Xenopus tropicalis: one gene and its partners. The protein of the gene in region 3 purifies or fractionates together with the protein of the main gene of each other region. This does not show direct contact. Links are inferred from orthologs where the notes say so. Each region holds a gene or a part of one and is shown on either strand. Other genes may lie near its edges.

What was found.
Region 1: the proteins of marchf6 (region 3) and sqle purify together in Homo sapiens (affinity purification with western blotting; 4 studies listed by BioGRID and IntAct, with this or other methods). This does not show direct contact. The link is inferred for Xenopus tropicalis from reciprocal best matches to the Homo sapiens genes MARCHF6 and SQLE.
Region 2: the proteins of marchf6 (region 3) and plin2 purify together in Homo sapiens (affinity purification with western blotting; 3 studies listed by BioGRID). This does not show direct contact. The link is inferred for Xenopus tropicalis from reciprocal best matches to the Homo sapiens genes MARCHF6 and PLIN2.

What each region holds. Positions count from the first base shown.
Region 1 is NC_030682.2:143,391,897-143,395,366, forward strand, and holds the end of sqle (squalene monooxygenase), read right to left. Parts: coding exon 3,331-3,470; intron 2,931-3,330; coding exon 2,834-2,930; intron 2,727-2,833; coding exon 2,639-2,726; intron 1,922-2,638; coding exon 1,729-1,921; 3' UTR 508-1,728; downstream 1-507. UniProt on the Homo sapiens protein: Catalyzes the stereospecific oxidation of squalene to (S)-2,3-epoxysqualene, and is considered to be a rate-limiting enzyme in steroid biosynthesis.
Region 2 is NC_030677.2:119,024,574-119,026,994, reverse strand, and holds the end of plin2 (perilipin-2), read right to left. Parts: exon of another isoform or gene 2,097-2,421; intron 937-2,096; coding exon 805-936; 3' UTR 576-804; downstream 1-575. UniProt on the Homo sapiens protein: Structural component of lipid droplets, which is required for the formation and maintenance of lipid storage droplets.
Region 3 is NC_030682.2:69,863,709-69,868,163, reverse strand, and holds the start of marchf6 (E3 ubiquitin-protein ligase MARCH6), read right to left. Parts: upstream 2,826-4,455; 5' UTR 2,669-2,825; coding exon 2,650-2,668; intron 1-2,649. UniProt on the Homo sapiens protein: Endoplasmic reticulum membrane-associated E3 ubiquitin ligase that plays a critical role in mitigating endoplasmic reticulum stress, the regulation of cholesterol and lipid homeostasis, and ferroptosis.

The DNA of each region.
Region 1 (3,470 bases), about 74 Mb from region 3:
TAAATAGTACACTTGCTAGGAGCTTTTCAAAGGGTTAGTTTGCCTTGATCTTAACTTTCAGTATGGTGTAGAAAAAGCTATTCTAGACAAGTTGGAATGGGTTTTAAAAAATGGTTTTACGTGTTCTCTTTTTGAAATATATAGTTATAACTCTTCTAGTCTGGAATTTCAGAAACAATCTAGTTTCTAGGTCTTGTAGGGGTGTCCAGAGCTTGGAAGATGAATATGAGAGGACCTGAATAGAAAGATTATAGTAATAAAAGGTAACTATTGAACTGCAGTCTTATGGAGCAATAGTGTTTTGGTCTGCCAGGGTCAATGACCCTTATTTGAATGCTAGAATACAGGCAGAAGAGAAATGATTCTATAATTATAGAACACGAAGATCAAAATTGCTCAGAATAGACCATACTAAAAGTTCATTTAAAGATAAACTACCCCTTCAAATAAGTCAGGTAGGCAAGTTAGAAGTGGAGCAATACAATGGCCCAGTGGTTAGCATTCATCTTAAGCTCTGAAGTCCTTTGTTCAGTTCTGACCAGGGCACAGTCTGCATGGTTTTGGTGTTCTCTCATATTTTAAAGGCCTTGCGCCTATGTTTGTCAGTTATTTTTGATACAATTAAATATCTGACTGGCAGTAGCAGCAACACAAAGTGACAGCAGAGAGTGCGGTTCTGTACAATAAGTGCCCAGTTAAGGTGACTTTAGAATGTGACCTTCCAACCCAAATATTTTTGTTGTATAGTTTCTCTTACAGAGTCCAAAGGAAAAACATGAGATAACTGAGAGTGTGTAGGCACACTGTGTCCCAAGCAAAAGTGTTAAGGTCCAATGTGTTCTGAAAGACAAGTAGAGTAGTGCCGAGTTCCCAGACCAGTAGAGTAGGCCAGTGCCGAGTTCCCAGACCAGTAGAGTAGGCCAGTGCCGAGTTCCCGGCCACGTAGAGTAGGCCAGTGCAGAGTTCCCGGCCACGTAGAGTAGGCCAGTGCCGAGTTCCCAGACCAGTAGAGTAGGCCAGTGCCGAGTTCCCAGACCAGTAGAGTAGGCCAGTGCCGAGTTCCCGGCCAAGTAGAGTAGGCCAGTGCCGAGTTTCCGGCCAAGTAGAGTATGCTGTGTGTGCTTTGACCATCTGCTATGAGCAGTCCAATGGGCAATCCCCTTCACCAGAGTCAGTAGAATTAATTGGTTGTAGATCAGCTCCATGATTCTATGACTCCATCTGGGTATGCCCAGTAAAGATATAAGGATGTCGGTCAGATATTTGTAGCCTGAATTTATTTAGTAGGGGGAGTCTGGGAAATTTACAGGGGATGCTATTGCAGGTAAAGCTAGCCCCAAATGTTCCTTTCATTGTTATTAAGGATGCTGGCAGCCCTTACAAGAGCAGCTTTTGAATAAAAGCAGATAAATAGTGGGAATGGGAATATGTTTCGATACTGATACCGCCCAAAGTCTTATCAACACAAATGCACCAAAGATTTTCTTCTTAGTCCCATATTGCAAGTAGACCACTTTGATTAATTACCATTAGTAACTGCAAATGCTGTACTTCGTAATAATTCTTCTTGTCACGATTAAACACTATGAACCATTGGAATAGCGTGAATAGCATTTATCTGTCAGGTCACCGGTGAGGATGAAGCTGACTAATTGCACCATTGGGTTCCATGTAGCAGATTTAGCATGAATCCTGCATGTTCGGTATCTCACAGTAGCGTCGGTGGCTTCAGTAAACCAAATACTTCATCTCAGAGTATATAAGCGGGAATATCACAGAGCAGGCACGGTACAGTACGGCAGTGCTTTTGAACAAGGCTCTGGGCTTGGTCAACCAGGGCTCGTTCTTGAAGCAGAAGTAGACGGCGTAAAATGCCACCGCAAAGAAATGGCCAATGAGCAGCAGAGGTTTGGGAGACACCCTGCAGGGAAGAAATAAAAAGATTGGTACACGTGAAGATTAACGTTCCTTTCCTTCCTTAACACTGGGCAATATTTTGAAGCTGTCTATTGTTTAATAGTGTTAAGGTGCCCATACACCTTCAGATCCGCTCGCTTGGCGATGTCGCCAAGTGAGCGGATCTTCTCCAGATATCCCCCACCTACGGGTGAGCGATACCAAGAGAATCCAGGCTAATTCAAGGAAATTATAACGATGGTATAGGCAAAGTCGGTTCGGGGACCGCATCATCAAGCCGATGCGGTACCCGATCCGACTAGATTTTTTAACCAGCCCGATCGATATCTGGCCGATTTCAGGCCAGATATCGGTCGGGCAGGCCCGTCGGTAGTGCCCATACATGGGCCGTGTTTGGGCACCTTTAGATCTGCTATGTGCAGTCACTTCCAGGTCCTTCTTCCCTTAGGAAACATAGCACAGTGCTGTCAAGGGACTCTCTGAGGGGCATATGAGTTGATATGAAATGAAGGCTAAATCATTAAGAGTAGATGTTTCATTACCCAGTCCTCTCCAAGTGGACACCTGCTACAGCTCAGCATTTCCGCCCCCTACCCACAGTATTGTATAAGAGTAACTATAGTTGTGTCACATGATATAATCCTGATTGTAGTCCCACAATAACCCATTTCATATCCTCCATTATATCTCAAATGGTTTATGTTGCTGAATATTTACGTACACAGACAAGAGTGCAACAGGACCATCGACACACTCTCCTCCAAGCTTGAAGTAGTTGAAGCAGGCTCTTCTCAGCTGGTACAAGGAATCTGTGTAGATAATGTGTTATTAGTACACAAACTCTTTAGCAAGGCTACAACCATCAACTCAAAAGATTGTTGTGGAACATAATAACCCCTATATAGACAATACGTACCATCTGTAGCAGCAAACAGCTCATACAGTGCCTGGGCTAGCACGTTGACCACAAAAGAATGGGACTTCTTCCTGGACCAGTAAAATACCTTCTTGGCCTGTGAATAATATGAGTATGAGTGAGGCACAAATAATCATGAGTGAAGTTAGTATATATTTTAAATGGGTGGCATATGTTGCAGTTTACTGGGAGTTTTTCATCCCTTAAATGCTATAAATCTGAGCTCTATGTTGTTGTACATAGCTGTATAGATGGATAGCAATGCATACTCTACTTAACAATACTCTAGCAGAGTAAGGGTGGTTCTACATTGTTAGGTGTGGGTAGGTGGCATAGTACAAGTTGCACATCACAAGCTAAGTCTACAATACAAAGAGAATGCCATCTCGAAATGTCTAGATACAACATCATACTCAATGCAAAACAAGTAGTACTTGCTCCTTTATGATCAACTGTCCAATAAATATTCCGTAAATGTGTCTAACTGTAATTCATACCTGTAAAACTTCTGAATGTTGGGAGAGGTCAGGCAGGTCCTGAAGAAGTTCTCTCCAAATCATCACGTCATTCAGCACCACACTCATCCCACCGCCTGTCAGCGGATGCCTCATGTTGTAAGCATCACCCAATAGTAGGA
Region 2 (2,421 bases), on a different chromosome or scaffold from region 3:
GCATCCCCCAATGAACTGTTAAGCCTGTCTTCGGGGTTTATGTACTTACAAGGTCCACAGTCTTATGCAGTTGAGAAATTGCCTCCTGGCTCCTGTTTTTTGCATCACCGATTCTAGTCAAAGCTTGCTGATAAGCACGCTTGCGAGCTTTAGTAGAAAGGGAACCCAATCTGACATAGTAGCTGGGCAGTTTTCCAGATTCAAATCCCTCAGATTTTGTTGCTTCTATAGCTAAAGACATTGAGTACAATAATGTGTTAATGTTTCATATGGGTCACTTCTGTTTTGAATTTAAGCTGGTTATAAAGTTAACTGGTCCAAGTTGATCCAGGGACTGGTCAGATTTTTATCTGAGTCAAGGATGAATTTTTCCCCCCTCTGTGGCAAATTTGATCCAGAGGAAGGCCAAAAAAAAAACAAAAAAAAAAAAAAACCCCTTCTATAGCCTCTCTAGCAGTTAGGCAGGTAATTTACGGTTATTAACAAGCATACTTGCCTGTATCATTACTAGTTTAGGTACATAGGCATAATACAGAAGTGACTGCATCAGGGAGACTCAAGTAGGCTGGTAGTTAGATTGCTTATTGGTTTTATGACCAGTATGTGCATTAAAGTTAAACATTGTTTATTAAGTTAACAAATGCAAAGAAAGCTTTTATAGACACCTAATGCCACAATTGTGTCACTAACACGGTGCTTAGAAGAACAAAAACTGGTTAAATATGCAGTAACAAAATGATTTGGTGTAGTTCTAGGTCAAACACAAGTTGGGGGAAGAGAGAAGGAAGAAATAAGCAGTCTGTACTAATTTGTTTCCCGGTTTACTACTCTGCCATTCAAGCGGGAAAAGTCTTGCATTTCCATTTCATCTTCTTCCAAAGCATCTGGATTTTCATCAATTTCTGATGATAGGTCAGTGATGCTGAAATCAGGAACCTAATCAAAAGTGAAAAGAGATTTATTTAGTTTCTAACCAGTAGTTAGATGTGGAGCAATATAAAGTACGACAGAACAAAGATTGTTTAATTATACCATGTAATTGAATTTTATATTAATAACTAAATACTAAGCCACTTTGTGTCCTCTTAGAAACCTGTACCCTATTATGGACACTTATCAGGTTGTTAATGGTTTTGGAGGATAGTTTGAGATGTTTACAAACCCAAGCTGGTAGTAAAAAAAAAAAAAAAAAAATCATGTTAGACCAGGAGGCACTTAAAGCTACTGTTCATATTGTAGCTATTGCTTGGAAGAAATTCATTGCCTGTAGACAGTTTTGTCTATTCAGCCCAAGCCATTTAACTCACCAATAACTGGTGTCTGTGCAGTTAGAACTAAAACCCATAGGAAGCATGAAACATGAACAGTTTCATGATAGAGTTACGCATATGTCCTAACAATAACAATATTGGCAAGTTTAATGCTGCATTAGCACTGGTAGTCCATATTCAAGGTCTTGGAATCTAAGGGCCTAAGCTCAATTTCTTCCTGAATTGTCAACCCCCATAAGCTGCTGGCAAACTAGTTGAGTTCACACAAAATATATCTGAATCTATTTTAGCCTGTTGTGTGCCATTACAAAAAGGAAGCTAGCTAATGTTGTAAAGACATTTTGATCTGATGTATTAGAGTGCACAGAGAGCAGGAAGCTTTTGTCTACAGAGGCTCTTCATACATGCATACATGTTCATGCTCAGTGACAATTATAGCATTCATATATTGGACTGAAAATGGATTAACTCACAACACAATCCGTGCTGGCAAATTAGATTAATCTGGTAACCTCAGTTTAAAGGAATTTACTCGAAGATTAATAAACTCCTGGTGTATAGGTCACAAGACTCCCTTCAGAGTTAAGAAATGGTAATGAGGGGGACTTTTGCATTTTGTGAAAGGGATATCTTAGATAATGGCTGCTATTTATAAACAGCATTAGCTTCACAAATGCTTTAAACAGTGTATTGTATGAAACGGTTATATCACCAAGCCATTTTAATTTTTTTTTTTTGAATGCAAGAGAAGCTCAATCCCACCACTAGTTTGTTGGTACCACCATTATGTTTGGTATTTATCAGAGGAAAACACGCTAGAGACACTTAATGCTTAATTATTTATTGCAAATACAAAAATATACAAAAAGGCTCATAAGACTGGTACAGTGAGGTGTCTACTGTGAAACTCCACTTTGCATTAAATAATTGTGAAAAAAGTGGTAGTATGTTATTGGCAGACTAATCAAAACATTGTGAATGGGCTAATGCAGTATTAACCTTGTGCCTCAATAAAATTAAGCTTTAAACACAGGGTACCAAAAGTGTTAGTATAAGCCTTACTGGAGTTTGAGCAGTGCTTTAACCAACAATATACATTACAGTTCATCTGTGAATAAAAAGTGCAGATTGTGGCTTAAAGACTTAAATG
Region 3 (4,455 bases):
GGCGAATCAACAGTCAGGGAGTTGGGGGGGAATGAAAGCCTGCAATCAGCCCAGGTATCTCAGGAGGGTACCCACGTAACAGCAGCATGTTCAGGGACCTGACCACTTTGCAGGTATTCTGCAAGTACCCATCCTGATGCAGGACTCTAGTTTGTAGACCCATTAAAAATGATAGATAAAATCCAAAATCAATGTATTTTTTAATAAATAAGCAAAATTCAAGTTTGATAAAATAGAGTTTATTCAGATTTTTAAAAATCTAGAAATCACAAATTTAAAAACCAATACAACCAGAACAACATAAAAATCCAGGAACAACTGAACCTAACAAAAACTGAACTAAAGATCTTTCCACCTAAGCCTGGTCCTACCCCCCCCCCCTTTTCTATCTCTATTAATGGCACCCTCATCAACCCTGTCGATTCGGCGCATTGTTTGGGGGAGATCTTTGACTCCAGTCTCTCCTTTTCTGACCACATTAACTCCACTGTCAAAACCTGTCACTTTTTCTTACGCAATATTGCCAAAATCCGTCCCTTTCTCTCTACTGCAACAGCTAGGCTGCTCATGCATGCTCTCATCCTATCCCGACTGGACTACTGTAATCTGCTACTAACCGGCCTCCCTAACTCCCATCTTTCCCCCCTACAGTCTATATTAAATACTGCTGCTAGAATTCTCCTCCTCTCATCCAGTAGAGTTCAGGCCCTTCCCCTGCTAAAGTCCTTATCGTGGCTTCCCATTAAACAAAGAATATCTTACAAACTCCTTCTCTTAACCTTCAAAGCCCTCCATTCCTCTGCTCCTCACTACATCTCTTCCCTTGTGTCTCCGTACGTTCCTGGCCGACTCCTTCGTTCCTCGCAGAGCAATTGTTTGGTTGCACCCCCCACTACTACTGCTGTTTCCCGCCTTAAACCTTTCTGCCTTGCTGCCCCTTACATTTGGAATGCCCTCCCTGATTTCCTCCGGAGAGAATCCTCCCCCAGTCTTTTTAAAACTAAACTTAAAGACTACCTTTTGGAGCACTTGCCCAGCACCTGACCAGGGAACTAGCACTTACATTGTAATGTCACCCACTGTGACCTACAGCACTTATATTTGCCTATTTGTGTCTGTAAGTTACCCTCCCATCTAGATTGTAAGCTCTATGGGGCAGGGACCTCCATCCTCTTGTGTCTTTGACTCTTAACTTATTGCAACTGTATCTTGTATTTATTTGTATTTATTGTTATACTTTGTATTTATCTATTATCTTATTAACCCTCTGTTTGTATTAATGTATTCTACTGTACAGCGCTGCGTACATAAGTAGCACTTTATAAATAAAAAATATACATACATACATACATACAACAACTGCTATTCTAGTATCAACAAAGAGTTATTTCCCACAAGGCAAAATAGAGACAACTAAAGAAATCTTTTCACCCTCATTTAATTAAAAAGATGATGCAAAGGAATTTTTATTCAAATTTTAAGACTGAGTTGCCACATACATCTGTTTTTGGAAGAAATGCTACCTAAAACGCAATAAAAACTATAATGTTAGGTGGTGGAGGAGGAATAATGGTCTGGGGTGGCTGTTCATGGTTTAGGTTAGGGCCATAAATAACGTAAAATCAACCATAATGCTTTAGCAAACAATAGTATATATGTATATGTATATATGTAACAATAGTGTTGAAAATTCTGTGCATCCTTATTTTGTTAACACAGTTTGAAAAAGGTCTTTCCTCTTTCAACATGATACCCCTATGCCAAGTGGAGAAGCACCTAACTGGCCTGCACAGATACCAAACCTTAACCACACTAATAATGAAGTGAAACACTGACAAGTTGTGCTTGATCACACAACACTAGTGCCCAACCTCATTAATGCTGAAAGCAGAACCCACCATCATTGTTTCAGCATCTAATCAATAGAGGCTTCTATACAGAGAAGGGAACTGCTGCTTCATACTGGTATCTGTAAAGTACTGGACAGCCAAACGTGACAATTTTTTCATGCAATACAATTTTGTACATGTAAATATGCAAATAAGAATTTGGATTCAATTTAGCATTTGGCCAAATCTATTTTGCAGCTCATATGAAATCACTGTAATTTAAACATCACAAATGCCAATGGATTCTAGCAATTTGCTAGTTAGGCTGCAGGATTTTTTTTTTTTACATGTTTTTCTTTTTACACCAGCAACATTCACCCAACTCTACACATGCAGGTTATGCCACAACTCCCATGATTCCTCTCTGTGTAATGTACACTTGACAAGTCGGTCTGACATATAATACATATCTATATAATTTACAGAAAAAGGCCAATACGTGTGTGTGTTATGGAAGGTCTTCTTCTTGAAAGATGTGCGCTTAAGAGTGCAATTACAAAACTCAACATCACAGCAGAAATTAAAACAAACATCCTAGACTTTTAAGGATATTAACATTCCTGTGACTGCAAAGAAATAAATGTAATGAATGCAAATAAACGTCATTATCCTAAACACATTCTAAGGGCCAAATACTTAATAAACCTCACAGGGGTGCAAGCTTTACGGCAGTACACATCTTTAGTTATACTTATCGCGATGAGGGGAGATCAGCTATAAATATGCCCACACATAATACAAGTAGAATCTCTTCCGTTACCTTCTTCGGCGGTCTCCATCTTGTCCGGCCTGTGACGCAGGTTCCGTGTCCCAAGCTCGTTTCCAGTTGAACTCCACCCCCGTCTCCAGACCCGTACAGGCCCAGCAACTACATCGAACGTGCAGAAACCCCTCCTCCAGCAACCAAAGGAAACAAGAATCGCTATTGGTCCTCAGACCTCACAAGAGAACCGAGTAAGTGACGTTACGTAAATATGCCTGCTGAAGGAGGAGGTGCGCAAGTGACGACCGCGGAGCTAGACTTGTAGGGCTGTTTAACAAAAGTATTAATTAAATATTTTGCAGAAGAGGGGTGATATTTGTCATTTTCTACGTATAAAAGGAGGAAATAGTGGCTGCTATGGCTGGTTGTGTTTTTATGCGGTACGTGACATTTAGGGGATGTATTTACATTAGTATATTAAAGGAGACATTGGATAAATGGGGAAAAACCCTAGTTTTGTAGGCAATTATAAATAATATAATGTGCTGGTTTCACTTTGTCCTAAAAATTAATCCTATCTGTAACAATGGCCCCTTTATTGGAGCTCCCTATAGATCCTATCACTTCTCTGTAAAGTGTGAAATGAAGAGTGGGCGTGTCCTAATGGTCCCTGCCAGAAGCACAGTAGGAGGGGGAGAGCCAATCACAGCCCTGCACTCACACAAGCAAAGACAGGCTTCAGTTCCCTATCAGGTCAGCCTAGCTGCTGATTGGTTCCTATCCTACAGTGCAGTGTAAGGAGGGCCCCCAGCTCATCCAGAGAATTCAGCCAGCAGAAAGTGGGACAGATAGGCGGGACTAGTGGGGTTTTGGTGGAATTTCTCAATAAATCAGTCAGAAACACAACGTTTTAAGCACAATCTTTCTATATTTAGAGGAGTATAATTCACTGGTACATTCATAATTTGTATATGATATGTCTCCTTTAAACCTTTCAGTGTTTACGCACTTTTTTTGCATTATGCCCATTTTTATTTTGCCGCCTATGTGATAAGTTTCATAAGTTTACCTTAAGTCACAAAAAGCTTGCTTTCACACCATACTTTCCTTCTCCTTCTGTAACCCACTCTGCCCCCCCCTCAGGAATTTACTTTGATTTCTGCTCAGTTGTTCTAAACTCAGATTACTAAACACGCCCTCCAGTCTAGCAGCCAGTAAAGAGATGGCATTGCTGGTTCCCATAGAAATTCAGCTCTAGCTGTCTGCTTCAATTTTTTTCTCCTGAGCTCAGCTTTACCATTAAGGTGGCCACACACGTGGCAATTTTCGATCTTTCGTGCGACCACCGGTCACACGAAAGATCGTTCCAATCAGCCACTAACGTTCAGGGCTGAAACGGCAGATGGAGGTAGAAACAAGGATTTCTACCTCCTTCTGCCGATTCAGCTCTGAAGGCAGATTTTGCTCAGGCGCCTTCTAGGGCGCCTGCTCAAAATTTTTTAACTCACCCGATCGGTGAGTCGACCAATATCAGCAGCCTCCTGCGATATCGGTCGCCTCGCCGACTTGCCATACATGCACCGAATATCATACGAAACGAGGTTTTGTACGATATTATCGGTGCGTGTATGGCCAGCTTTACAGTGCTCAAACAAAGCAGAACTTTTTTCAAAGACAGTTGTGCTTGTTTGAGCCTGTATTCTTGATGAAATATACAGTGGCTTGCAAAAGTATTCGGCCCCCTTGAACTTTTCCACATTTTGTCACATTACAGCCACAAACATGAATCAATTTTATTGGAATTCCATGTGAAAGACCAATACAAAGTGGTGTACACGTGAGAAGTGGAATGAAAATCATACA